Caenorhabditis elegans: one gene and its partners. The protein of the gene in region 2 interacts with the protein of the main gene of each other region in a pairwise test. Each region holds a gene or a part of one and is shown on either strand. Other genes may lie near its edges.

Evidence for each region.
Region 1: the proteins of tbx-8 (region 2) and set-1 interact in a two-hybrid assay, tested with the Caenorhabditis elegans proteins (one large-scale study listed by BioGRID).
Region 3: the proteins of tbx-8 (region 2) and ceh-43 interact in a two-hybrid assay, tested with the Caenorhabditis elegans proteins (one large-scale study listed by BioGRID).
Region 4: the proteins of tbx-8 (region 2) and vab-7 interact in a two-hybrid assay, tested with the Caenorhabditis elegans proteins (one large-scale study listed by BioGRID).

What each region holds. Positions count from the first base shown.
Region 1 is NC_003281.10:6,449,381-6,454,972, reverse strand, and holds set-1 (Histone-lysine N-methyltransferase set-1), read left to right. Parts: upstream 1-2,600; 5' UTR 2,601-2,616; coding exon 2,617-2,780; intron 2,781-2,913; coding exon 2,914-3,152; intron 3,153-3,198; exon of another isoform or gene 3,199-3,206; coding exon 3,207-3,394; intron 3,395-3,405; exon of another isoform or gene 3,406-3,482; coding exon 3,483-3,620; 3' UTR 3,621-4,181; downstream 4,182-5,592. Other genes in the region: jhdm-1 (JmjC domain-containing histone demethylation protein 1), read right to left, coding at 1-128, 177-490; T26A5.6 (UDENN domain-containing protein), read left to right, coding at 4,288-4,344, 4,679-4,876, 4,924-5,161, 5,239-5,394, 5,441-5,592. UniProt on the Caenorhabditis elegans protein: Histone methyltransferase that specifically monomethylates 'Lys-20' of histone H4 (H4K20me1). H4K20me1 is enriched on hermaphrodite X chromosomes and during mitosis. Involved in dosage compensation by repression of X-linked gene expression in hermaphrodites.
Region 2 is NC_003281.10:10,344,681-10,351,113, forward strand, and holds tbx-8 (T-box transcription factor tbx-8), read left to right. Parts: upstream 1-2,894; 5' UTR 2,895-2,903; coding exon 2,904-3,199; intron 3,200-3,581; coding exon 3,582-3,657; intron 3,658-3,712; coding exon 3,713-3,865; intron 3,866-4,498; coding exon 4,499-4,921; 3' UTR 4,922-5,060; downstream 5,061-6,433. UniProt on the Caenorhabditis elegans protein: Transcription factor. Involved in the control of early morphogenesis of the intestine, hypodermis and body-wall muscle. Involved in regulating expression of vab-7. Appears to have partially redundant function to tbx-9.
Region 3 is NC_003281.10:4,445,436-4,453,166, reverse strand, and holds ceh-43 (Homeobox domain-containing protein), read left to right. Parts: upstream 1-3,223; coding exon 3,224-3,452; intron 3,453-3,557; exon of another isoform or gene 3,558-3,636; intron 3,637-3,931; coding exon 3,932-4,061; intron 4,062-4,119; coding exon 4,120-4,195; intron 4,196-5,565; coding exon 5,566-5,805; intron 5,806-6,150; coding exon 6,151-6,324; 3' UTR 6,325-6,517; downstream 6,518-7,731. UniProt on the Caenorhabditis elegans protein: Probable transcription factor. Binds to the sequence motif 5'-ATAAT-3' in regulatory elements. Required for development of the anterior hypodermis during embryonic morphogenesis for cell adhesion; also affects embryonic and larval viability.
Region 4 is NC_003281.10:10,917,481-10,927,279, forward strand, and holds vab-7 (Homeobox protein vab-7), read left to right. Parts: upstream 1-2,863; 5' UTR 2,864-2,905; coding exon 2,906-2,947; intron 2,948-4,106; coding exon 4,107-4,245; intron 4,246-6,236; coding exon 6,237-6,394; intron 6,395-7,965; coding exon 7,966-8,156; intron 8,157-8,318; coding exon 8,319-8,532; 3' UTR 8,533-8,561; downstream 8,562-9,799. UniProt on the Caenorhabditis elegans protein: Transcription factor. Involved in motor neuron fate determination and maintenance, acting as a transcriptional repressor to counteract gene activation by transcription factor unc-3 in a subset of motor neurons.

The DNA of each region.
Region 1 (5,592 bases), 3.9 Mb from region 2:
AGAAGTTTATAAATTCCTGTAACGACATTTTCACACTTCCTTGATTCTGGACTTGAACAACTTCTATCATTCGATTTCCGCCTACCAGTTCGAGGACATCATCCACTGAGAAATCTGGTGAGGGAAGTCTGTAAAAATATTTATTTTTACAATTAATTGGAAAAATCAATACTCACGTCATTCCTATTCTTTTTGGATCACATCGGAAATGTATCGGGTTGTCAAGTCCATTTTTGTCGTAGAACTCCAAATTTAAAGCTTCTGGGTCCATTGTATGTACAAATTCGGGATGTTGGAAAGACGGATCATTCATCAGAGCTTCGAAATCAAAATTCACACATCGTTGAAGTGACGACTTATCGAATCCAGTAGTTTCTTCACCTTCTGAAGCACTATGTTCGTGCTCTGAACTTGACTCTTTCCTAGCCTTCTTTGCGCCCTTTTTACCGTTCGCTGGCGTTTTTCCATTTGATTTCCGTTTCGGCGGCATCTAAAATAATATATTTTATTAGAATCATAGGAAAATGGTTAGTTATGATACAAAACTGTCATAAAGTTGGCGTAACTACGGTAAATCAATTAAAGACTTGAACGCAGAGAACGGAGTTTTTCTCAGGACATTTTCAAGCGATTAATTAGATTAACTTTCGAGATTCTAATGGCTTTTAATAAAAGAAAATGTAAATTAAGTACCCAAAAAAAGTTTCGTGAACTGCTTGAATTAAAGGTACATGGAATTTTCGAAGGGTCTCAAACGGAACACAGTGATTTTAAAAAATCGATCGATTTGTCGGTTCTTATTTATTTAATTTTTTGGACTTTTTTCATCTTATTTTTGAAAACTGTTTCTAATTGTTTTGATTGAAGCGTTAATAAGACCGAGTAAGGAATTATCTTTAAATAAATTGACAAATTTTGAACATAATTTTCCGCACTACGATGAAAAAAGTTAAAATTTGATTATTTTTGCTTTTAAATGCTTCTTAAAAGCAATAAGAGAGAAATACACATTCAAAACATTAAAGCAAAAAGCGTGCAAAAATCGAAATAGAAACTATGGGCAAGGAACGGAAAAGGCGCAAGCTGGACCACTGGCGTGTTCGACGCAAGCCGTTTCTCTCTCTGCGACTCTCCTCACCCTCACCCCATAGTGCATTCCTGTTTGTTGTTTGATCGTATAACCAGCCTCCTTTCTTTTCACTCCCTGATTTCACTATTTCTTCCTCTTTTTTACTATTTATTCCATTAAAATACAATTCTGGGTTTTCAAGGTCAATATTTCTTCCTTATTCCTGATAATTCGTATCGATTTCCCCTGACATCCTTTCTGGCCTACAATTATGTGGCGTTGTGACGTAGACCGCTGAATTGACAAAACAGTCGAAAACGAACGGGTGGACGGCACCATTCTTTGTTTGCTGCTCAATCTTACAACGACTAAACTTTTTATCGATTTAGCGTTTTATCGACCGCAGCATAAATAGGAAGGGAATGGAATAGAATATACCGATCGTTTTCTAATTACCCATTCATAATCGATTAGCTGCCAGCATCAATAAACCAGCGGCTGCATCTTCTTATGTCATTCAGATTCTCGACACCGATTCGATGTTCTTTTTTTCAGCATATCTTCTTCGTCGGGCTCTCATGTAGTCGCATTGAAGAATGACAAACTGCATTTTTTATGCGATGACACTCTTGTGCACGATGTTGCCATCGATTTGTTGCTCTGTTTCTCATAGTTGTTTTTTTTCAATTCAGTCAAAATTAATAGATCAATAGGACATCTAAATTTAAAATTCCAGTTGGTATAATATTTAAAATATAAATAGAAACATTAGTCATGCGCATGGCGTCAAAATTTATCTAAATTTTAATCTTTGAGTATCTTTTCTGTTTAATTTTACGAGCCCAATAAGTGTATCTATTATTACGGAAATATACATTTTAAAGTTCAATTCCATAATTTCAATCCACCATTTTTTACACCAACCACCGACATCTACCGTGAGTGCAATAACGCTCCACGGCACTTCCCGCCAAAACCATATGACTGCACACCATTTGAATTTAGTCGCGTGTGCACGACATTGTTCTTTGTGCTCAGCTCTCGTCAAAAACCACTGAATTTGATTTCTAATGAGGTTATTCACGAAATGTGGATAAATATCTTAATGATGATGTTCTACTCGGTCTTTTGATATTTGGAAATTCAACGGAATCGGTGAAAGCCCACCCTTTTCACAATAGAAACCTTCACTTTCTAAAAAAAATATTCCTCCGAAAACCCATTCAATCTGCTTTACGCATCTCTCTGCCCGCTTCAATTTCCTCTGTTACCCTCTTCCCAACTACTTTTTCAGGTACATCCAAGATGGCTTTTCCATTTTCAATTACAGTATTCAGGACCGATGAAATCATATTGAATATCTGGGTTTTTGAAACAACACATTATAATATTTTTACCCAACCATTTCAAAACAAAAAAAATAAATTGTGGGCGAATATTTCTATTATTTCTATGACACCTCTTTTGCTTCTTTATAAATTTCTCTATTTTTACTATTCTCCTCACCCTACAAAATTTATTATTTTTTCAGCGGTGTCACTCGAAGGATGAAAGTTGCCGCGAAGAAGCTGGCAACGAGTAGAATGCGAAAGGATCGTGCCGCAGCAGCGTCACCATCTAGTGATATTGAGAACTCCGAAAATCCATCGTCTTTGGCTTCACACTCTTCATCTTCAGGAAGAATGACACCGTCGAAAAACACAAGGAGCAGGTATGATTGATTAGTGACAAGAGGGATTGTAATAGAACGTTTAAAAACTTCAATATTTCTAATTGAATTCACAACATATTCACAGAAATTGTCCAAGCTGAAAACTTCAATTTCCAAATAGTTTTTCTTTCAGAAAAGGAGTGTCGGTGAAAGATGTCTCAAACCATAAAATCACAGAATTCTTCCAAGTGCGGCGAAGTAATCGGAAGACGAGCAAGCAAATTAGCGATGAAGCTAAACATGCTCTTCGCGATACCGTACTCAAGGGGACTAATGAACGACTTCTTGAAGTGTACAAAGATGTTGTGAAGGGGCGAGGAATTCGAACGAAAGTTAACTTTGAAAAAGGAGACTTTGTTGTCGAATACAGAGGTATGTAGATAACACAGATAATTGTTGTAATATTGTTTTTAAAAAGTATTCTAGGTGTTATGATGGAGTACTCGGAAGCAAAAGTGATAGAAGAACAATATTCGAATGATGAGGAAATCGGATCCTACATGTACTTTTTTGAGCACAACAATAAAAAATGGTGTATCGATGCGACAAAAGAATCTCCATGGAAAGGACGACTCATCAATCATTCCGTGTTAAGGCCGAATCTCAAAACGAAAGTGAGCATTTCAAAATTTGAAATTTATTAAGAAAGTCTTTGATAAATTAAAAAAATGTAAATAACAATTCCAAAACTAAACATTCCAGGTGGTGGAAATCGATGGGTCGCATCACCTGATTCTCGTCGCCAGGCGTCAAATCGCACAAGGAGAAGAGCTTCTCTACGATTATGGAGATCGTTCAGCAGAGACGATTGCCAAGAATCCATGGCTTGTGAACACATAATATGTTGCTCCACAACATCTCTTCGATCTGCTCAATCCATTTCAAATGTTCATTTACCTTCACGAGTATACTACTGTAATTCCCTTCATTTTCTCATATTTTCCACGGCACTCGTGCCCAATCCTCTCATTACTTCGTCTCTTTCAACCGCCTTTTCTCATTCTCACAGCGAATCAAACCTGAAACAAATCTCAATAACGAGCCGTAATAACGTGCTCATTTATGATAATCTGGATCTCGTGAGTATCCAATTCTGTACCTTTCCTGTTGACTTTTGAAAAGTCCCTTGTTCTTTCCTTTCATTGAAACCTGAAAATCTCCTCACTTGTTCCACTACGAAATGCCTTTAATATCTTTAATTCTTCTGTAAATTTCTCGTTGATCGCCCATTTTTTCCTGAATTATTCATTTTTGTGGTGTACATGAGGTGCGAGTTGGAAACCTACTTTAATGACTGGTTAACGCTAAAATCGTTTCCATCCCTATCGGAAAACATTATCAGCGTGCAAATCTCAATTTTTCATTTTGAAAACAATTAAAATCCATAAATTTTGCTACATTAATCTTTTTTTACGAGTATATTCCGTTTTCCGGTATAGCAACCATAAGAATTTATCTGAAGATGGTAAAATTCGGGAAAACATTAGAGCTTACAGTTCAGAGAAAGATGCATCCAATTCTGAATGTGGTCGTCGTTAGTTTCCATCACAAGCGAGGATGTGAGGTAACAAAAATGGCAAACTATCAGAAAAATCAGGAAAATATGATACATAAAAGAATAAACTCGAAAACGTAACGATTAAGGTCATAAATGTGCAGGAAAGTAATAAAATGGCAATATAAACTACAAAATCGCGTATATTTTGCAGTTAATTTGAAATAAATGTTACAGTCAATCGAACATTTCACAAAAAGCAGAACGTTTTTGGTACTTTTTACTATTTTTGCAGTATTTTTCATATACATTTAATTATTAAGTTTTGTATTATATGGAGTGAAGATTTAAATTCAAGTTCATCAACTCAATTTGTAAAAAATCAATAAAATAAATCTTGTAGGTAGAATACTCGCACCCGAAACTCGATGGCACGGGCGAATCGGGATTACCCGATGAATGGCATCTTCTTCCATCACTGGCGTTGCCGGATGGTGTACATAATTGTCAAAAAGATACAATATTCTTTTTGCTTCCATCTAGAGAAGAACCTGGAAAATCGATATTTGGCATCTCGTGTTACAGACAAATCGATGCAAAAGTGAGATTTTATATGACTCTTCAGATAAAAACTGTTTGACTTTGCAGGAATTAATAAATAAATCGGAAGATGTGACTAGGACCAGTGTTCAAAAAGCTGTATGCGTTCTTTCAAGAATACCACTTTTTGGTCCATTAAAAGCAAAATTGGAAGTAATAACTCAGGCATATTTTGAACAAAAAGATTTTTCGAAAGTTGATGTTCTTGCTCAAATGTATACGAATCTTTGCGATATATTCGACGAAAATCTTACTGGAGAATACTTTTCAAATCTAGCTCATCATGGTACGTTATTGAATCAATTTACTAAAATAAAACATGAAAATAGTTTCAAATGTTCACATTTTAATTAGCGATATCAGTTTCAGAAATATCAATTCAAGAGCTTTTTATACGATTCCGTCACCGAGCTCTACTGCTTTTTAAATTATTCCTATTAGAGCGGAAAGTTTTATTCATTGCACCAACTGGATTACGATTAGGAGAAACTATGCTGGCTATTGTTTCAATGTTTCCAAGTAAGAATATACAGACATTTTAAAATCGTTTAATTTTGAATTTCAGAGCTTTTGGAAGAAGGTCTGTTCTACGCAACAATCGGGGTCAATACGAGTTGTCATTTCAAAAATGTAAATTCAAAAACTGAAGGAAAAAGCGAAGAAATAGTGATAGAAGAGGAGGTTGGTGTTCAGCTTTCACATGATGATCCATTGAAA
Region 2 (6,433 bases):
ATGAAAATACGCTGATCACCACGAAGAGTGAATGGATTAATTTCCTCAGAAGAGAAAACTTTGCCTAGAAATTTTTCTGAACTGGTGCCAAGTTTCACGGCCGTATATGACAGATTTTCGCCCAATCTCCACGGGACCCTAATAAATCAAAGGAGGCCCGATGTCAGTTAGACTTATCACCACTTCCTCTACAGTACCACATCATCTTCAACACTTGTGCAGATCTTAATCACCAAACCAACAAATAGGCCTTTCCTTCTTATATGTCCGGTCGGGAATTGCATCACTGGGCATTGCACGAGAGCCGTGCCCAGATTGATTGACTTGTCTCATCGGAGATTTTATCAAAGGGGTGAATGTTGGGATAAGGTACCTTTCTTGTTGTTAAGAAGACCTTCTTCGTCGAGGTGGCCTAAAAATTACACAGCTCTTCAGCTCGGATTTGCAGTGGAAAATTTTTCACTTTTATGTCCACGTAACGCCTTTTCATGGAGTTGCCCCAAACGAGTGTCACACCTTCCCCGCGGCCGTTAAAGTTCTCTCGGTGGCTTTGAAATTACAAGACTCTTAAATTCCAGCCACCTACCTTCTACAGTTTTAAAAACTTACTAAAATCATAATTTTCCAGATGCTTTTTTTTTCAATTTTTGTGTGTAGAAACATAACTTTACGGCCATGAAACGACACCCCAGGTTTTTAAAGTTGCTAGAATCGCCAGATAATATAAATACGTATGACTCTGAATATCAAGGTTTTTGTCTGATTGTTGCCTGTATATTGTTGCGTGGGATATTCAGAGAGACCAGAAAAACGTAGGCCATTATTGTGCAGGACATGCAACAATTTCAAAATTATCAGCCACCTACAAGCCGACTTACTCCTGCCTCGTGCCTACACGCGTGACTACTGCCTTCAAACCCCCTTAAGCATGCCTAAGAACATCAAAACATGCCTTACAAGATTTATTAGAGATAACCATGTCGGTGGTATTAAAAAGATCACGTCAAACGGAAGAAATAAAGAGAGAAGTCAATCAACGCAACAGCGGGATGCCTCTTCTAATCGGGTTGCATCGCGACATCGGCGATCCGGACAAGGCTGCCGAGTCGCAGCCTAAGCAGAGGTGCTCGTGGAATAAAATTTCTGAAAAAGCCAAGGATATCAGGTGGGCGATTAAAAACCTGCCTGCCCTTATAGGCGATAGGCAGGTATGTAGGCAAACTGAGGAGTTTGCTCCAAAATGCAGAAAGTAGACTATAAGAAGGTTACCTGAAGTCAATACTTAACATTTAATAAACTGAAAATTCTTACAAATGATCTGTCATATTTGAAATCCTGTAAAACATCTCTGAAGCTATTAAATTTTTGCAATTTAAGCTATTAAAATGTTGACCCAAAACTCCCTCCAAAGTTCCCAAAAACTATAACATGTCAAGTACATAAAATGTCCTTCCCTATCCATAACCTAATGATCACCTGTCAATTCTAGTTACCTAACAACATAAAACGCGTACCGCTCTTTCTCCTCCACCCAACAGTGCGCCAGACGGATCCCTTTACAACTCTCTGGTTGGTGATGATGTAATTTGGAGCCGCCGGCTCACCGCAATACTGTCGGAGCACAAAATTCAGGAAAATGATCCTGATTGAGAACATGGTGCATGCATTAACAGATAATTTGTTTTTGAAGGGAAAATCAATAATTATCTGGAGATTAGATATCTTGTTTTTAGAGATAGTTGTAAACAATGGCAAATTGTAAAACCACTTTAGATGAACCTGGAACTTTCGGGAAATCTGGCAACCGAGCTACAAACTACAAACTACAGAAAATCAATCTACAAATGTTTTTTTCAGTCAAGAACCGAGATATCAGTTGCACATGGTGCATCGAACACTAACAAGATTAATCAAAATTTGTCACGTCCAGTATATCCGTAGTAAAAGTGAGAATTAACCTCAATGATTTATCATCCTGCCCGTGTCCTTCTTCCCGTTTATCAATATTACCGTAGTGGTGATGGTGGTGGGGGCATCGAATATCGTCGTAAAATCGTCGTTAAACAAATTTTATGAACTCTATATACAAATCAAGCGTGTTATTATTGTTTGGTAGAAAGATTGGAAAACGATAAAGAGAGGTGAACAGGTTTCCTAAAATATCCCCCCGGAGATTCATTTCTAGCAAGTATTTGGAGAAAGATGAAGAGGGACTGCACAATATTTAAATCGTTGAACCAATAAAATAATAATCACAAACTTGGAGCATTTGGAGCATTCGATGACGATTTTCTAGAAACTGGGGAAGTTATGAGGTTTTTGGATTACATTTTTGATTGGAGTATCATGAACATTTTTTAGAACTCCTTAATAATAATTCTTCAAACGACAAAGAAGTTTCAACCAAAAAATTTGTCAAAAAGTGTTTCTAACAGAAATGAAAGTATGTAGAGAGAAAGTTGGGATAAAGTAGGTTGAGAAGTATCCCACATATCTCAAAAAATATTTGGTTTATCAAAAAGTTGTCAACTGACAAATAGTCGAGCAAAATGTCAATTGAAAATTCCCTCGTATTATTGATTTTTGGGAAGTTACAGCTGTTCAAACTTTTAATTTTGTCTATTTTCACCTTTGAAACTTATTCCTTCACACAATTCCCCTTTTTAGCATCCCGCCAAACATCGAAAAACCACGCCTACCAGTGTTATCGCTACCGTACCCCGCGGTCCGCCTTCGGGAAGGCAGGAGTGGGGCCGTGGCATCCAGGTGAGACCCCAGGCTCACTCTCAGCCACCAATCTGTTTAGTATTCACTTTTACGCGAATTTTCCAATTTACCAATATTTCAGTTTTTGCCCGTTTTGATTGAATCCTTATTATAATATGAAATTCCAGAGAAAAACCATGACAGATCAAGTGTATGTGACACTTCGAGAAGATCAGGATAAGCTGTGGAACCTCTTCCATTATCATAAAAACGAGATGATTGTCACAAAATCCGGCAGGAAAATGTTCCCGAAGCTTGAGTATGTGGTCAGAGGTCTCACGCCGAACAAGCTCTACGCTATGATGCTTCATATTGAGCCATCCGACGATCATCGGTACAAGTTCAGCAGTGGAGAATGGGTCAAGTCGGGAAAAGCCGAAAAGCACAGGGAGCCAAAGAAGTTGTGGCATGCGGATGGAGTTAGAAGTGGAAAGTGAGTTTTTTTTTGGAATGCTTTGTTAGTTGATCTTTTATTAGATAGCGCAGTCAGGGTTGGAGTACCTATTTTTCAGCAGGGAATCAGAAAATAATTTCAATTTAGAACTGTAATATCTCAAAGGAAAATAAAAATACAATAGTTGCTTACTGATGAAATGTTTATTATAAAATTTTCTACAGTTTTCCAATTGACAACTTTTTTGTAATGACTGTTTCAAGCAAGTTATAACTACTTAAAAATGTAACACATCGCCAACTTGAGCATGTTAACTTCAAACTGTTATAAAACTACGGGCGGTTTAAATATCAAATATCAAATCCTTTTCAAATAAATTATCTGATTTTCTGTATATCTCCCTATAGTAACTTTTTTCCAGAGAATGGATGACCAACCCAGTTTGCTTCGATCGTGTAAAAATCACAAATTGCGCTGAATCTACAAATGCATCAATGGTAACAGCCATAATTCTTTTCTCCTTCAACCTCAGCATTTCCCAATTTCTTCCAGATTTTCCTTCACAGCATGCACAAATACACACCAGTAATGTCAATCTACGAGTCCCCATCGGAGAGCCCATTCAGCGTCCCACAACCATCGACCCGTCTTGTCACTTCTGTTCGACTCACTTATACCGAATTTATTGCAGTTACAGCGTACCAGGTAACACTTGTTTGGGATCTAGATAACTTTGCCTATTGAGCCCGCATTAACACTTGCATTAACACGTGTGGCTCTCTATGAGCCACATCTTCTGAAGGGTGCGAACACTAATTGTTTGAGGGGTATTGTTTTGGGTTTTCTGTGAAGTGAAAGGGTTTGACACAAAACAAATAGAAGAAAAGGATATTTAAATAATTGTTGCAATTTTTTATTAGAAATTAAAGTAAAATGGGTAAATATATTAATATAAATTTTTAGTCTCATTCTTGATTTATTAAGATTTCCTCAAAAACCGTAAGAGAGCTATCATGAAATTTTTGACCTATAAAATGATGTATACTTTTCAAATCTGAAATAACTTTTCTCTTAATTGAAAATATTGAAAAAACACTCAAAAATTGTCTGAAAGCTGAAAATAGCTTGAAAAAAGTTTTGATAGTTTGCCGGCAGTTTTTTACCGTTTTTCCGATTGTTGCAACTGTCTCAGGCGGTTTTAAAGACCAACAGCAAATAATTAACTGCATTATTTAATCTACAATTTTTTATTTTCTTGAAAACAGCGAGGCATCTCAGAAAGTTGTCTTTTTTCCATGGCTCAATCAAAATGTAACTCTTAAATTCAAAAACTTCCAGAACGACGCAGTAATCAAGCTGAAAATCAAGTTCAACCCATTTGCCAAAGGATTCCGAGAGGGAAGCCAATCAGACAGAAAACGAAATTCTCCATCCGCCGACGACTCTACAACAGATGAAAGCTCATCTCAAGTCTCTTCTCCTCAGCCAAAAAAGTCACGAACCGTGTCAGTATCACCTCCATTGATGCCACGGATCCTTCCAACAATGATTCCACCACCACCAGCCATCAATCCCCTTTTCTACAGTCTCCCCTACTTTTCCCATTTGGCAGCCACCGGGAACTTCCCGCCTGTACCATTCCAATTCCCATTTGGACTTCCATGCTTCTCCCCAATGTCATTTCCAACACCTCCGCCATCTTTGAAAAATGTCAAGAAAGAAGAGCAAGAGGATATTGAGCAGGAAATCAATGTAGTTTAATTGCAAAATTTAATTATTAATTTTAAATTGTTATACTTTAGTTCGGGTCACATGATCACTTTTTCTGTTAATTTTTTCTGCATAGAAGATTTTTTGTTTCTGAATTTGGACATAATCAAATAAATTTTATACGGTGTAATTATCTTCCAGACAAGTAGGCAGGCAGGCAAAAATGCTCTTCTGCGGGCATTCACAAAAAATAGGTCTTCTATTGCCCATGCCAATTTTTTGAAAAAATAACTTTAACTTTAAAAACCAGTTTTTTTGCGGCCTTTAAAATTGAGCAATTTTTCCTTTAAAAAATTTCCAAAAAACACCATGGCCGAATTTGTATTTTTCGCGGCCACGAGACTTCAATTTTTCATGGCAATGTTTTAAGAAACTTTTATGGTTTTTACAGTTTAAATTTTTTCCACCATAGAGCATAACTTGCCACGTGGCCGAAAAAAAACGGTGGCGGAGTTTCTTCAATTGGTTCTTTCTGCCACCAAGACTAAATGCGGGGCCGAGGTTTCACACGTTCTAGGCCACGCAATTTCTTTTTTGAACTGTTTTTCTTCTTTCCGTTCCTTCAATTTTCTCCGTTATGGCCTAGACTTTCTTGTGAAAAACTATAGTTCTTTCAATTTTGAAATTGCGAAAAATCGGCAAAGTCGACCTGCTCAATATGATGACGTGGAAGATTCTGCATGAGAATTACACAGTGTGTCATCACCCCTCTTACACTTTTGTTCTCTCCCATCACAGCCTCCCATACACACAATTTCACTACAGTTTTGCTCCTCGCGCGGCTTGATTATCATTATGTTTATATGGTCAAAGCCGAGTTTGAAGTACGCCCGGGCGGCGAATTTGCATAACCCCACAGAGAGACAAAGTACTGTGTCGGTCATGTTCGATCAGTGGTTAACAGTACATGTATATATGAGATTTGTTTTAAAAGAGCAGCTTCTTCTCTACCACCACCACTTGAGTCTACGTTTGCCCCACAGAGGGTGAACAAACGGCGCTAGGAGCCCGAGTTATTTCGAGATGTGTCACTCTTTTACAAGTTCGTCGCCACGTTTGACACTTTTTAATTTTTTTTGTGTTTTGTGCATTGGTAATTAATTTGTATATTTTTAAAAGTTATTTGAAAAAGTTGGGTCTCGCCGCGAAAATTTCGAAAATTGTTTTTCAGTCCAATTAGTTGCTATAATAATTTTTTGGTTTTTTTCTGTAATTCCTCAGCTTTCTGCTTTTTTAAACACTCAAGTTTTATTTTATTACCGTAACTCCCTTTAAAAAAATTGCCCAGGCATGAAATTTTGTGAAAAATACGGTATCCGATCTCGACACGACAATTTTTTGTTAAATAAAAACGGGTGTGCACCTTTAAAGTGTACTGTACTTTTACACTTTTGTTGCTTTTATATTTTCGCCGATTTTTCATAGTTTTTATTACAAGTTATTACAATTTATTGATTTTTAATTTTTTTAAAATTCTAGTTTTAAATAAATAAAGATTTTCAA
Region 3 (7,731 bases), 5.9 Mb from region 2:
CAAATAATTATTTTAAAAAAGTTAAAAAAAAAAGTTCTAAAACCAAAAAAGTAAAAGGAAGAACGTAGAAGAACGTACTTCAAAGTAGAAAGGTACAAACAATTCATTGCTATTTTCTTGTGTGAAGGCGTGTGTGGATGTTGGATTGGAGCAATTATTCTAATTATTTTTGGTTAGTAATTACCATCGAAATAGAGCATCAAATTATAGAGACGCAGACGAAAAAACGAGTGTTGGTGGAGGCGGAGTCCAAAAAGGGGGTGATTATTTTAATTGTTTGTATACCCTCTTTTAACCTCCGCCTACCGTTTAGTCCAATTAAATATTTCTGGAAGAAGTTGAAGGGCTAGGTAAAACTCTTCCAATTTTTGCTGGAGCAGGGTATGCCATGGTAGGCATGCCTACTTACCTATGTATTTTGAGTTCAGGTGTTTCGATGCTTGAGGCTGTCAGGCGTTTGTGTGCTTACGTGTAAGGACAGACGTGTCTTAGTGAAGGAGCTCCCGTCGAGCTAGACAATTTCAAAGCTGAAAAAGCGTCTCTCAAATATTTCCCGCACTGACGAATTTAATGATACCCTTGACTGGAAATCGCGCGCGCGAGAAGAAAATTATATGTTTTCGGTATTGCTTTCGGCATTTGAACAAGAGCTTTTCTGAGAAAAATATTGATTCAGAGCATTGTACTTTTTGGAAAATTATTCACAAATATTTTTAGACTAGCTCACTGATCTCTTGAGATGAAATACCGACAAAAGAGAATACAAAACTCTTTCACTATAGTGATACCGTAGAACAAAACAAATCCCCTTTCGGCTCGGATTCGCACCTCACGGTCTATTTTCTACTGGCCGCTGGGTTCAATCAATATTCCGATGCATCTCCTCCTTGGCCGAGAGGTTTGATGACCGGATGGATCGAAGAAAGGCAAAAAATTTACGGGAACGTAAATTGATAGATCACATTTTGCTCCATCGAAATTATTCACATATCGCGAACTAACTGTGCGGTACAGTCAATTAATCAGTCAATTTACGGAGCTTTATATCGGGGATTGAATCAGTATAGTATGCATATGGTTTCTCTTCAGCTCCCTGAAATTACAAAAACTCATAGTCATGCTAGTAGAATTTAAGCGAGCGCGGTTAATGAGTAAGCTTTCGAAAACAAGGTGACGTGCCAATAATTATCAGTTACTTATTGGTTGACGCAGCTGGCAAAACGGGATGTACAGATAGAAAGAAGTAAGCCGAAAAGCTCGTTCCTACGAAAAAAATCAGACAATTGAAAAATTGGAACTGTGTGGTGGCTCAATGTCCATTTTAGACTATAGTTAAAATGGAAATACAAAAGAACAGTTGGCGTGAGCATGGCAGATGGTGCCGACGGCAAAACCTTAAAGATTCTGAAGCTGTGAACGAAAAAGTTGGGATTCTTAATTAGGTGACAACTCTTACTGGATTGGAAGAACAGACTTTACCACCTGGATAAAATATGTACAGTTTGGAAGAGCAATAGTGTTACAGAGCTCATATAAGGGATTTGAGGGGATAATTCTGGAATCAGGAATGAATTAGATTTTGGAAGCCATGCTGACACAAAGATGTCTCCCCAAGATGGTACTCGGAAAGGCAGTCATATGTTATCTTCGCCAGGAGTGTGCACGGGCAACTTGCTCAAATGCAAAGGACCAAGATATAGAAACTATCCAAAAAAGCTTCAAAATCAAAAATTCTGAAAATCATGAAAAAATGGGCACGGGAACGCCTCAGTTCCAACTGAAGGAATGATGACGGCCGGCGGTGTGGTGGGGACCGAGAAGATTGAGGCCCTTTTGGCTACACGCAATTACAGCCACAATTCACTATTTCTCTCGCTTTATCCATTCTCTCTACACCACGTACACCCAGCAATTAGCTACAATATAGGGCGGGGTCCCCCTGTTGAGGCACACACACTCTGAAAGATAATTGGGCTAAATTATACCTCAACCATTTTTCTCTACTGCCAGCCTCTCCCCCCGGCACTTTTCCAAAATAATTGTCTTGTCTCTCCCCATCCGCTCTGAAATCATCATTAAACAATTTGATATGTAGGGGATCGAGTTGTGAAAAAGTTTTCAGATAAATCTTCTGATAAGATGGTCACCTAGCGACCCCAATGGCTCCACCCAGAGAATACTGTGTCCAATAGGAGACGACTACTCCGCCCACAACCAACGTACCGCCCATCAGTTTTGAGGTGTCTCCTCTCCACATCCCGCATCGTCTCTCTTCCCCCTTTTGCGATGGTGTGTTGTGCTATGTGTATGTGCCTACTAGTGCCCATTCCCTCCCACCACTACCATCATCATAATCTTCTTCTTCTTCAACTACTTCTTCTTCATCTGAATCTTCTGAATCTTCCATCTCCTCCCTTATTATCCTAATTCATACCTTTCTTCTTTTCCTTCTTCTTTCACTCAAATTTTAGGTAATCGTCTTGTCTCTCTCTCTCTCTCTCAACTGCCATCCATCTGAAATTTTAAATTGCCGTTGATAATTGACCCGAAATTTGTTGAAGTTGGATCTTGTGTGGGGGTGTGAGAAGTTTTTGGGGATCATAATGATAGGGTTATGACTTCGGTGCATCAGTTCAGCTAATTCTAAGTCTTCAAAGTTTATGGTAACTGATTTTTGTTTAAAATGCATGCTAGATGAAAGTTGTTATCGTTATCATGTACTTATCACTTGATGAATTTCCTGTCCAGCTTCTCCATCGCGAAACAATGTGGCCGCGTGGCGCAATGGATAACGCGTCTGCCTACGGAGCAGAAGATTGCAGGTTCGAATCCTGCCGTGGTCGAAACTTTTTTCTCATCTCACATTCGTTTTTTTTTATTTTTGAAAAGTTGATGCTCTTGCTACTACGAAATATTTGTTTGCCACGTCATTACTGATAATGTTATGTTGAATGTCATGGCACTGCTCCTCTGTTTAAACAGTAGAGACTAACTAAACTAACCGAATAATCATGAATCAAAAGTTTTGTCGTCGTTCTCGAAGACTTGCAAAAACCAAAGTGTGAGAACTGCAACCTTTCAAATGGTGTGAGAATTTTAAAAGTTTTCAATTTCATTCATTCTACTTCTTCACCTTTTTGTCCATTTTCAGAGTGTTTATTCCGATTACGTCTCATTTCTTCAGTTCTTAATTTTGTATATTTTTAATTACTTTCTTTTTCAGATGGACCCATCAAAAGGATTCGAATATGTTGCTGGAGATTATTATCAGACATCTGGAGTAGCTCCACCCACAAGCAACGGAGCTGGATCTAACGTTTCCCCTTATTTCCCCTACCATGCTTATCCGACGTCATCAACGAATGGAGCAACTGGTGGTTCTATGTATGGTACACCACAGCAAACGAGTGCCTATGCAATGTATCCTCCTGGGCCAGGAAGCTCACCTGAAGGTATGAAACTCGGAATTGAAAAAGCTTTGGAAATTGCCAACTGCTTTAACTTGGTCTCCTGTTGACACCTAGGAGAGTTGATAAGTACCTTTTTTCATCTTCAAACTGTGGCCGCGTGGCGCAATGGATAACGCGTCTGCCTACGGAGCAGAAGATTGCAGGTTCGAATCCTGCCGTGGTCGAAGCTTGTTAACTAATTTTATTTAAATTTCATTTAAAAATTTCAAAATCTAAACTAAAGATCTTGAAAACACGTCATTGTTCTAGGTTTACCAATATCGTCAAAAGTAAAAGACGTCAAACGCGATCTAACATTAGCACTTGTATCCAATGTGTTACTTTTTCTAGAGTTTCTGACTTTGACTCCAAATATCTAGATCATTAGAAATGGAGGTCTATGATTTGCTTTTGATTTGGTTTCGAAATAGATAGCATCAAAATTAGCACATAAAAGGGGTTATTATAAAAAAAGTTTGCAGAAGCTTTTCCCGAGCACACAACTACAAAAATCGTGGAAGGATGTGAGGCGAAGTACAACGTGAAAGGAAAGAAAATGAGGAAACCACGGACAATTTACAACTCATCACAACTGCAAATGCTTCAGAAAAAGTTTGTTTTTTTCAAAATTATTTAAATTGCAAATTTATTAATTCAAATTCATTTTCAGATTCCAAAAAACACAATATCTGGCGCTTCCGGATCGAGCAGCATTGGCACATGAATTGGGATTATCACAAACTCAGGTAACTATTTTTGTTATTTTGGGGAGATTTTTGTATATAATGCAACTTGCTCGTAAGATATGATGTACTAGGCCCGCATTTTCGAGAAACATTGAAATCTTTGCACGTGAATTAAAAAGGTCCGGTTGCGGTTTGATCTACAAAAATTGCGCGAAATTTATTTAAAATTTTTGTGACTGGCGCGTAAGTATGGTGCATCGGGGTAAGTGTGTTTCGTAATTTAAAATTCTAAAATTTAGTTGAAAATTAACAAATTGGCTGTCAATTTTCGAACAATTTCCGCTTACCCCACTGCCATATCAATGACCTTGACGAAATGCACACCATCATGTAATAATCCAGTCGTAATCTTCCTAATCCCTCGATCCAAGTCCCCCTCCTCCTCTGACACACACGTGTCTTCATTTGATTCACCGTAAAAACAGTACCATTAACTGTGTCTTGAGAAGGTCGTGCATTCCTCCAGTTTTATACGCGCTATTGAGTTTAGAGAATTGAAGAATGTTTGGAAAAGCGGTCGCAATTTTGACATAGATGCTGGTATCGCCTTTTAATTATTGTTTTTGATATCCCGAGGGATATGAAATGAGAAAGCTCTCAACTAACACATAATTATGCCACGTCAATAGGAGAAGAAGCTTTAAGAATACACGCGCTCAGGTGTTAGATGCTTATCGAATTTTGAGAAGTGGGATACGGGTATATCAATCATACCGTAACAGAAACATGTGTCCTGCCAAGATTTTATCTAAAGTCAGCGGAAACGGACGGGGGGCGGACGCCTGATTGACAGGTGTGACACATTGGTATTGGGTGTCCGGAAAATTGTGTGTGGATTTTCTAAACCAATTATTTAAAAGTAGCGTGATCGAAAAAAAATCCGAACCGAGCAAAAAATATGAAAACACAACCTCGATGCACCATGATTTACGCTTCAAATTAGATCGCTAAAACCGGCGTGAAAAATGTGGTGCAATGTTCATAAATCATTCTGCCAAAACTTGAGATTCTGAATCCAGTTTACCCAGTTCATGTTTCTTTCAAAAATTTTGGGGTGATTCTACAGTACACTTGATTCTTGTGGTTAGACATCCAGCCGGTTAGTTCATGAAAAGAGTGAATGTGACCTCTATAGGAATCTTTGCCTCTATTCAACCACATACTAGCGGATGGCTAATTACTCTTCTTTTTCCCTCTCTTCCGTCTTTTCACGGATGTCATACAGGGACACGCAGGGTCTATCTCTCTATGTATACATTGCCCAGTTTTTGCAAAATCGACGGATCGGAAACCAATTGGCACACCGGCCCCGATGTGGGGCTTTTCAATAAAATTGCGCTAAAAATTTAAACAAATCTTTTAAAATTTAGAGAGCACAACCGATCACTGAATTCCAGGTGAAAATCTGGTTCCAAAATCGGCGTTCGAAGCAGAAGAAACAGAAGGGTGGAAGTTCGGATCATGCATCAGATGAAGAAGATGATGATACGGAAGAGTCAAAGCCTGAAAGTCCACCGATGGGAGAATCGGTTATGATTCAGGAGAGCAGTGAGCCAAGAACACTTGTATCTAGTTCAATTAAAACTGAAATGAAAGAGGAATATCCACCGGTTAGTGAAATGTGCTGATTATCTGATAACCAAGTCTAGAAATATTTTGAATAATTCTTTGAAAACTTTTTTGAGTTGCAAAAATCCTTCACCGAAATTTTGCTGTAAAATAAAGCACGGTTTTGCTGTCCGAAAATGCAACCGCCTTCAAGCAGTTTACGTAGGCACAAAAACTCGTGTGTGCCTGCGTGACTGCATTGACAAAAGCACACGCATACGTGTAACAGATACAGGTACGAGTTTGCATAGAAGGCGACCACGCCTGCCTCGTAGGCACGCAGGCAGACACTCTTCGTCTGCTTTCAAGCTCTTTCGCAAAGCATAATAATTCCTAATATTTTTCAGATGACACTCAACGAGCAATATGCTTCTCCTTACCTCTACGGATCCGACTTTTCAACGATTCTCCCACCGTCACAGGGTTTCCCCAACAATGCGCTCTACAATACGGCAGGCGCTTATCCTAGCATTGACTACACAAATGGAGTATACCAGAATACTCTTTACAAGTATGTCTGAGGATATAATATTTCCTTTTTCTTGACTGTCAGTTAATTTAAAAAATTCTTTTTTACAAGGCTCTTGTAGTACCTTGCTAAAATATGTTCACTTTTGAATAAGCTGTCAGCCTAGAAAATATTGATTTTCTCGATGATTTGTGTTTTTTTCTTTCCAAACTTTTCTATGGTCTCATGGTTTTTGATATATAAATCGATATTGAACGTTTGCTTTTTTAAAGTTTTTTACTTGAAAAATGGCAGAATGCCAAGAATTATCAATCGACGAAAAGTTAAATTTTTGTATTTTTGAGTTTCCAGACAAAGTCTCCTAATTTTTTGGCAAATTTCGTATTTAAAATAATTTCTTGACTTTACTATAATCCAATAGTTTCCTGGTTTTATAAACTGTACGGTTTTTTTAATTGTTTGATTTTCTCGGAAAACCCCGATAATTTTTTTTAAATAGAAAAATTGGAAACAAATTCTGAATACACTCTTGGGTGGAGCCAGTATTTAGTCATTTTGCAACTAACTTGAAGATAATTTTGAAACAGAACCGTAAAGAAAAACTTGGTTCTTCTGAGCTTTGCAATTCTCTGTCTAATTTTTACAAAATACAAAGCCGCCTGCTTCTCTACCTACAATGCGACTTGCAGTAAAAAAAATAGGCGGTAGGCACGTAGGCAGGCAAGTAGGCACACAATAATAAAGTAAAACTTTTCCATAATCTGAAAATTTTGCAGCTCTACCAACCCAACATATAAATCACCGCATCATCTGACCTCATCGGCTACACCATATTAGTGCCCCTGCAAGATTCGGCGATAGTCTGCTCATTTTTACATTTTCAAATGCCTTCCAAAACCCTCATTTTCAGGTGTAGAAGACTTTATTATCATTTTAGACATTTGTTTGAGATTTTCATTCAATTTTTTAAAAATTTAAATTTAATGTAACATTTTAAATTCAATTAAAATGAAATCCCAGCTGAATTGAATGATTCTATCAAATAAATGATGTATTCAGAAGGTCCCGTTTGATCTCTAGAAATCGCGGAAAACTAGATTTTTGGCGCGATTCCTTGAGATCAGAGCCAGTTTACTTTCTGAATACTTACTTCTGAAAAAAAAACTTACTTTAACTGTTCAGATCTCTACCGATCTTCTTTAAAACTCCCTTCAACCTGTGTGCTTTTCCTCATTTCTTTAAAACTTTCTTTCCCTTCCTCATGTCTTCAACTCAATTTCACCGATTCCAGTTTTTTTCGTCTTTTCATTTTAATCCAACGGCCAACCGGGTGCCCGTCTTTTTTATTTATAATTAGATTCCTATCATATTGATATACTATCTTTTTTACTGTAAATTGTACTTTTAGTGAATAAAAAATTAAAATCTTCATACTATTTTGCAAATATAAAGAGTTTTT
Region 4 (9,799 bases), 570 kb from region 2:
AAGTTTTTAATTCAGGCAATTTCAAAGTGTATCCTTAAATTCTGAAATTTCTTCTTGAAATTTTTAGCCAAATTTTTGAATATTTGAGAAATATGTACATTTTCAAATGCTTACAATTTACTGTATATGCCCATAAAATTGGATTTTTTTGCACTTCTTTTTTCTCGTAGCGCTCTTTTAAAAATGTTCACCGAGACTACCGTACCCCAAAATCTCTTTCCCCGTTTGTCTCAAAACCAAAACATAAGCTTCATCTCGTAAATGAATTTGTTCAACATACTATATCATGTCACACAAACCGCGCTGCCCCCATATTCATAGTTTCCCTCTTGGGACTAATGAAAGAGACACCCCCCTCTTTCTAAAACCATATTGTATCACTCTTTGTGTCATTATATCCCAAGGGGTGTATTTTACGAGCGGAAAAGGTGTGTTTGAACCTTCCGAGGGGTTGAAAATAAGATTTTATCACCTTTTCCGGTTATGGTACTAATTAGGAAATTAACACAGGTGCGATTACTTACATTTTATGCATATCTATTACGAGTGATCTTTACATAGTTCGTAGGTAGGCACGTGCTTTGGCCTACCGCCTACTCGTACGCCTCATTGGTGTGATGTGAAAGAGATGTGGTATGAAAACTGATTTTTAGAATATTCCGACATCTTAGGTACTTTTGCAGGTAGGAAAAATCTCCAATTCTTCTTAAAATAACGAATAGCGTAGAAAATCGGAAAAACTCGGCCACATGCTTGTAGAAAACAATTTTAAAACTTGGCCGAGTTTTCTGAGGTTTGAGATTTATTTCTAGTCCACAAACTAAACCTGATCTGATTGTTGTAGAGTACTCAAAAATTTGTGTTAAGTAATGGCCGAGCTTTTCTGATTTCTAGGCCATGCAGCTAGGTAGCTGAAACCACCTACGCAACATTTTTCCAAAAAGTTTACTGAAATTTCTAGACCATACTAAACTGCAATTGTGAGTACTGAGAATAGTGAACGTTTTTAGATTTTAAAGTCTTTTCTCTTTTCTGAGTAGATGGAGCGCGATGGAAAACTTGATGAAGAGATAAAGTGAAAAAAAAACAATGAAAGCGCGCTCCATCGGACAAAAAATGTCGGAATTTCAAAATTGCCGAATTTTAAAATTTTCGGCAACCGCGGCCCACCCCTGGTTCGGAAGTTCCAGTGTTCTCAGGCACACTGCCTATACTCAACTTTTGAAGGGACATGCCCTACAAATAGAGTAAACATTAAACCATTTTGTATTGTCTTCCACATGTATTCAAGTGTATCAATACCAAAAAGTAATGAAATAGAGAGAAGGGGGAGCGGAATGCCTGATGAATGATTCATTCTCTCTCTCCCGATGCAACATTTAGGGGAGATACATGCAATGACAATAAAAGAGCTGCTTAGTCATGTCACTTAATGACTTTTGATGAGGCTTTCATCACTTTTTGATGGGGAGGAACACTTTTTTGTTTCCATCTGACTTTGTGGCCTAATTAAGAAAAACTAGGCCATTGTGTAGATGGCTTTTAAAGTTTTGAAAAAAAGGTTATGGGAATCCCAAGAAACTTCAAAACTCTGATTTCGCAAAATTGAATTTCTATTAGAACGGTGAGATCATACATACCAGGGGTGTGCGGCAAATTTGCCGAATTTGCCGTTTGCCGAGCTCGGCAAATTTCAAAAAAGTAGATTTGCCGAATTTGCCAAGCTCGGCAAATTTCGAAATTTGCCGCACACGTCAAAAATTTGACAGTACAATTTTGACTAAAACTATTGATTTTTTAGCCAAAAATTTAGTAAAATGATACAAAATTGAGCTATTTTGATGCTTAAACAGACATTCTACGCGGAACTTATTCAGAAACCAGATGTGTGTTAAGAATTCAGTAGTTTTGGTGCTCCAAAAAATATAAAAAAATATCAAATTTTTCCGAGTTTGTTAAGCACGGCGAATTTGCCGAATTTGCCGAATTTGCCGTGCTCGGCAAATATTGAAAAAAGAGATTTGCCGAATTTGCCGAGCTCGGCAAAAGTGGCCTAGAAAATTCAAGTTAGGCCACCTGTCAATTTGAATGTTGAATTTTTATGTTGAAAATACTTACATAAGTTTTTTCATCCGTTTCACCTAGCTAAGCACATGGCCTAGAAAAATCAAAATTAGGCCACCGTAAAAGAGAAAATAATTTGTATATTAATATGAAACATTGAATGAGCTAAGGGGCTCCAGTTGCTTTGTGGCCTAAAAAATTTGAACCCTCGGCCACCTCCGTGAAATTTTCGAAAATTTTCATTTTGAATTTCATCGTAACGGCCGGGAACTTTAGCTTGATCACGTGGCCTAGAATACTGAAGTTTTTTGAGAACCGTTATTGGGGAACTTTCACGCAGGTACCTCGTGGGTATTAGGAAACATGGTCTAGAAAAAAAATTAGACTGTCTGCAAAATAATTTTAATCATTGTGTAATATTCTTCATTGTAAGGGCCCTAGAACCTTTACTTGGTTACGTGGCCTGGAAAACTCAAAAATTCGGCCACTAATTGGTTTTTTGAAGTTTTACTTGAAAAAAAAAATGACCTGATGTTTTTGAAAAGCAATACATTTTCTCTTAATATTAAATTTCCAAAAAAATGCCAAATCTGCCGTATTTTAAATTTCAAACGTCATGGAAAAAGATTATTATCTAAAGTCTCTTTCTATTCCAGCACTCCTTCCCCTCTTCTATTGGCCGCCCTTCTCATCTGAGCGTGGGGCGTGGCCAAATCCACCGTAGTCACCGAGAGGTTGAGCCCCGCCCAGCGCCTTATTCTATTGTTTCCTTTATCTTTGAGTTTTAGTACTCAAGTTCTTTTATTTGAAAAAAAAACTATCAAAAATTTTAAAAATTAGCATGCAATCATTTGATATTGAGTCCCTTATTGGGGTTAATAAGGTGAGATTTTTTTGTTTTGTATTTTGTTTTGAGAACCATGTTTTTTACTTTTGTAGAACTGTTATTTAATGTCTGTAAACTTCTTGTTGTCAAAGATCCATTAAAATTAAAGTTTCTAAATTTTTGTAGTTTTTTAGGGATTTTTTCAACTTTTTTGATAACTGTAATAGGTAGAAATAAAAAATTATATAATTTCATGCAATAAAATTTAATGAAAAATTATTAATCTAATCATAAAAGTTTAGAAGATTTATGTTGCTAAAATTTTATTTGATAACTGTAAAAGTTTCATTCAGTTTCACAATTTTCAAGATTATCGGGCGTTTGAAGCTTAAAAGATAATTTTTTTAAAGTGTTTAAAAGTGGTTATAACTTGGTTTGTAATAATGCAAGCAAAAAATTTTCAACAAACAATTTGTTCATTATGTTTTAAGCTATAATTTGTTAGTTGTCAACTTTTTGATAACTGCATTAGTTGCAGAGTTATGGACAATTTAATTAGGTTGCATAATCAAAAAGTGTCATATTGCATAATCTCAGCTATAATGCATAGTTGCATAGTTATTTGAATTATTGAAACATTTAAATTCTAATTTTTTAAAATCTGTTTTGCTAGAAGTTTTTAAATTATTCTTTAAACTATTTTCTTTTTTATTAATACTTTGAAATTTTGATTTAAGAAATACAGAAAAAAAAATTAAAATCGTTTTTTGAAAAGTTGAAATTACCGAAAATTATCTATTTTGACAGCCAAACTTCAGTTATTTCTAGTATTCAAATTAATTCCAATTGTAGTTGAAAAATAATTATGTCTAGTAAAACAATGTCGATTTTATTTTCAGATCAAAAACTGTTTACATAAAAAAAGTTGTTTTTACCTCTTTTAATCTAGAAAAATTTGAAAAAATATATCATTGAAACTTTTTCGACACCCTAAAGTCTTTTAGCCGAACTCTGAAGACCCCCGGACAGCTCCAGGATGATGCAACTCTTAGTTTCTAAGTAAAGCCTCCCTGACACCCCAAAACTGTTATGGCCTAGTTTTGGGTCCCTAGGCCACGTTGAGCATAAAATCTACTTTAGCCCCATCACCTAGGACACACCCCCCCCCCCCATCCGAACACATAAAACATCTCGTAATTCGAATTCTCATTTCCAGGTCCCATCACTTGTGGAGATGGTCGCCGCATCTCGAGCTTCCTCATTTTCCCCTCCATTTGAGCAGCAGCATCATGACCCGATGGGTGTGGTGGCCGCAGCGGCAGCAGCAGCAGCCGCCGGACGTCATCATCCGTATGGTAAGAAAAATGGGTGTGTGTGTGCCCGAGATGAGAAGGGACATAATTATTCAAGAATACTTCTTCCCCTAGCTTCATCTCCTCGCTGAACACTAATTTAGTCCCGTATTTGGGTGGGGGTGACAAATTGAGGGAGATTGATTGAGGTGGAGGGGGGTGAGCGGATGGATGAGGTTGACACGAGCAAATGGACAATGAGCACCTATTATGACACGTGGGAGTAGTGGAGCGGGTAGGCAGTGGCCGAGTTTTTTCTAGGCCACGGGCTAGAACCAACGCGTGAAAGATTACAGTTACCTCCGAGAAGTGACTGAGGTTGCCTTTTTTAGGCCAAAAGTATAAACAAATTTCCACATTCTAACTTTGATAGTTTTTACAGTTTGGTTTTTTTTAAATTCAAATTCCCCGCCAAAAATTTCTCCGCCAAAGTTTCTACTCTGAAAATTTGAATTTTCCCGTCACAACTTTTACTGAGTGAGATCTTTTGAAATCCCCGCCAATGCTTTTTCAACAAAGCTGTACTAGCTTCCCTTTTCTTGATGGCCTAGAAAACTCAACCACGGCCATGAACTTTCAAAGGGCTAATATAGTTCCATGTGCTCCTCCCTGAAAGTTCTCTTTGTGGCCTAGAAAATACAATTTCAATAGGCTTCATATCTCCTAGAACATGGCGTGGCCGAATTTTTGCTTTCCAGGCCAGACTTTTTCCTAGGCCACGCAGCTCCCTGTCATCATAAACGATGTGTAAATGTTGCGGTTTCGACACAATCACTGAGTGTGAATGAGGATTGTTTGGTGTCGGCTATTATATCGTAAATGTTCTCTCTTTTTGTTTTACACCTGCCCCCCCCCCCCTCTCGGGGTACTGTAGACGCGTCGTTTAGTGGTCAATTATCTATGTTAGTGTTGCGAATGGGTTATATGATCACTGATAGACACACTGGGAAACATGCTCTGATGTGCTTAACCTCTTCCCCCTCTCCCCCGAAGTCAATCGCCCTAATGTTGCCATGTGTCATGTAATTGGTGTTGCGTGTCGAATCAGTTCATAGACACCCTTAGTCGTAAAAAGGGGAGTGAACCAATTATTTAATTAGGACACAATGTTCCGGCCGGGCAGGTACACGGGTGAAAGTGGGAAGGGTACATCTGGCCTAGGGATTGCAAGCTCGGCCAGGCTTATGTCATGTGGGCTTTTAGACTAGCTAGTCTTTTGGTCAGGAGACAACTATACCGCTGATAAGTATAGGAAGCCGGGAGTTTCTGCTTTGCCTAATCAACCTAATCTAACTACATCTATAGGGCCCAAAGCACCATCATATACTAATAGCATAGAATTCTCAAACCCGGCCAAGTTCCGTTATGGTGTCCACAACACTCTTAGTTCCACATGACCAAGAAAGCTCAATCTGAGCCATTTTCCTTTAGATCGGCATATTGTAAGCTTGACCTGGTCACCTAGAAACTTCTAATTCTGCCACCACTTTTTAGAACTGTCCAGATCACCCTTCCTTACACATGGCCTAGAATTCACAAACCCCTCCTTCCCCTCAAAATCTGAAGGGTTAACAACAGTCTTCCCTAACGGTCTAGAACCTTTTGAATGGGCCATATTCCTTCGAGGGATCCACAACACCCTATCCATAACCTAGAATCACCTGGATACTCCAGTCATATGAGCGATCCACAAAAGTATACTCCTTCACCTTCTCATGGCCTAGAATTCCAAAACTCGGCCATCCATCTCCTCTCATAATCCCTCTCACTAGGATAATGGGTGGAAATTATGTTTTTCATCAAGAAATGCATGTATTAATTCCGCATCGCCGGGATGCTAATAATGAAAAACAAGAAGAGTCAATTTGTGCCGTTTATTGATGAATTTTAAAGCACTTTTAATTATTTAATTCTGTATGACGAAAAACATAATTTGCTCCGTGTTTTTGTCGTCGGGAAGCTGTTGATGAAATGCTGATTTATAATAATTTCAGATAACCGAGACGACGGTCAAATGCGGAGGTATCGAACGGCTTTTTCACGAGAACAGATTGGGAGGCTTGAGAGGGAATTCGCAAAGGAAAACTATGTTAGCAGGAAGACACGTGGCGAGTTGGCGGCAGAGTTGAATCTTCCAGAAGGTACAATTAAGGTAAGTTGAAAATAGAGAAAAATTGGATGAAAATTCCTAGAGTATTAAATGGCTCTAGGCTACATCATAGCTCTTTGGGCGACCTATAATATTTCAGACCAAGTCACTACAGACGGTTTTAGCTATTACTGACAAGTCTAGGCCACCACTAAGAATTCCAGGCTACCACGATCTCTTTAGGCCATCACTGAGGATTCTTTGTAATCAGAGTTGATTGTAGGCCAATTTTAAAATTTCTAGATCATCAAAAAGCCATCGCTAAGGATTCTAGACAACTATTGAGAATTCTAGGCTACCACTGAAGATTCTAGGCCACGGCTGAAGCTTTAAAACTAGAACTAAGTTTTCTAGGTCATCAGTAAGGATTCTAGGCCACTATTAAAATTCTAAGACTACGTTAAGCTTTCTAGAGCACAATTGAGAATTCTAGGCCACTCACATGTTTGAACACATTTTGGACGTTCGTATCTCTGAAAATATCATAGCTATCAAAAAATTATCAACTACCAAATTATTCAAAATTCAATTTTCTACATTTTATCAGTTAAAAACATTTTTATAGCTACAAAACTGACAAAGTTAGAAGCAGATTTCCGCATCATAATAGGCTACCGTACCCCCGTCCCCCTGCCGCCGTCATCGTCAAATCCAAATCATTTCCCATGACATACACGCGGGACCCGCTGCTTCTTCTGCATATCAATCTCCCTTGAAAAATGAAAAAGCTGAGAGGACAGGAGAAAACGGAGGGCCTATGAGTGATTTCGGAGTATCGCGCCTTTTATTCCCACTGGCATACTTTTAGAACTTCGTAGCCTCTTCAACTAGTTACAATATGATTTTCGGGGGAATTAGTATAGAAGGAGAAGGGTTAGAAATTTATGAGTTAGGCTTCGGCTTAGGCTTGGGCTTAGGCTTAGGCTTAGGTTTAGACTTAGGCTTAGGCTTAGGCTAAGGCTTAGGCTTAGTCTTAGTCTAAGGCTTAGGCTTAGGCTCAGCCTTAGTCTTAGACTTGGAGCTAACGCTCCCCCACTGACGCTATTTAGGGTTATTAGGCTTAGGGTTAGGCTTATTCTGGGCGGGGGAAGAGATGAAAGGAAATCCTAGAAAATTACATGGCCTAGTTTTTTCCAGTGTCCTAGAAATAAAATTGTTGGCCTAGAATTTTCTGAGATGACCTAGCGTTTTTCAAAATAATCTAAAACTTCCTAAGATTATCCAGGAAACTTTAAAAACTCAGAAAATCTCCAGATGTCTTAGAAATTGTTCAGATGGCCTAGGAAATTTTCTGGTGGCCTAGGAACTATAATTTATGAACTAGAAAATTAAACGGTGGTCGAGGAACCTTTGACATAACCCAGGAATTTTTCTCGATGCATTTCCGACATGACTCAAAATTTTGAATTTTTGTGAACTTTCCAAAAAATTTTTAGGTAGCCTAGTAAACTTACTGATGGCCTAGAAAACTCTCATTTGCCCTACTTCAAATAAACTTGTGGAAAGTGGCCAAGTGGCCATTACTCGCAAGTGACTCTCGATTTTAGTCGAATTTTCTGAAATATTTCTTGCAGGTATGGTTCCAAAATCGTCGAATGAAAGATAAACGGCAACGAGTCGGTGGTCTCGCGTGGCCCTTTCCTCCACAAATGGCTGCCTACATGTTAAACCCATTTGCATATGAAATGTGGATGAAAACAGCTGCCGCCTCACAATTCGGAGCCACGGGTCCCGGAAATGGAGCTTATGGGAATAATGGATCAAGGTGAGTTGGAAGATTGGCAATATTGAAGTTTCTTCACAATTTTTGGAAATGTTTGGAATCGGAACTTTTTTTTTCGTAAAAACCAAAATAAAATTGTGAAAAAATTTTAGCTAAATAAATTATTTAAGGTTTTTTTTTCAAATTTTTCCAAATATTTTTCAGCACATCTCCATCAGCAGCTGGATCTCTTCCATTCCTTCCACCATTAGGTTTTCCATCATTTTTATCACAAAATTCAACAAAATCTCCATCTTCTCCACATTCAGACGATTCCTCAAAATCGAAGAATACCTCAAGTGATGATGATGAATCAAAACCTGTAAATTTTTCAAATAGCCCTTCCTCAAGTTCTCCCTCGCCTTATTCTACAGATTAATTCACTATTTTTTGGAAAAAAAAATCGGCAAAAAAAGGGGAAAAATGGACAAAATTAGCCAGGTGGCCTAAAAAATGTTCATGGTGGCCTAGGAAATTCTAAAGCGACCTAGAAATTTCTAAAGTGGTCAAGAAAACTCAACGGTGGCCTAGGAGATTCTAAAGTGGCCTAGAAAATTCTAAGATGACCTGAAAATTACATAGCTGGCCTAGAAATCGCTCTGACTAAAATTAGGCTTTTTCAATAGCCAAAAACACTTTTCGTGGCCTAAAAACCTCAATTTTTGCCTATTATCTGCCAATTTTTTTTTGTTAAATTTCCACAAAATTTGTATTTTCTTCGCTTTTTTGTCTCATTTTACAAACAATCTCTGACACACTGACGGTGAAATGTTCTTTTACATTCTTTTTTTTCTCCATTTTATTGAATAGATGTTTTATTTGCTTCCCAATCTTTTTGTTCATATTGCACTGAATAAATGATTTTTTCCGTGGCCTAGAAAACGCCTTGAAAGTTTCTAATTATTCCAATTCACAAAAAATAAAAATTTAATGACGTGATTAACAATTTTATTTCTCGTTTCCGAGGTTAGATTCCTATCAATTTGCCACAACAAAAAAAAAATTTGCCACAAGAAAAATTGTGAAAAAACTATTTTATCGGAAAACAATTCATTTAGAATTTTTCTATTTTTGCCTGAACAATAGAACTCACTAATATCATCATCGCATCAAATGTCATCAAATTCTACGTAAGTTGGGGAGTTTTGAGGGGCAAATGTGGCAGCCGACATTTTGCTGGAATCCTGTGAAGTGTCGGCTGCTCTGCCTTTCAATTAGTACTGCTATAACTGGCAGGCGCCAGGTAGGCACAAGGAAATAAATGCAGTGAAATTTTATGTAAGCTTGAGGAAGGCACGAAGGTGGGCATGAGCTAGGTAGTTAGCCGGGGTTCGCCGGTCTGTGAATTTAAAATCGGATGCCCGGTTTCCCGCCCTCAATGCTTCAAAGCAGCCGACGTCTCATTGGTTATTTTGACACAAAATATGTCGGCTGTTGCGAAACAGCGAAGTCCCGCAAGATGTCGGCTAACAATTAAATGTTTTCAGTCCCCCAGTCGAAAAAGAAGCCTATTACCATGGACTGCTGACCCGAGAAGATGTCTTCCAGCTCCTTGAGAAAAACGGTGACTACGTGGTCAGAATTTAGGAGCCGAAGCCCGGCGAGCCCCGCTCCTATATTCTAAGTGTCATGTTCAACAACAAACT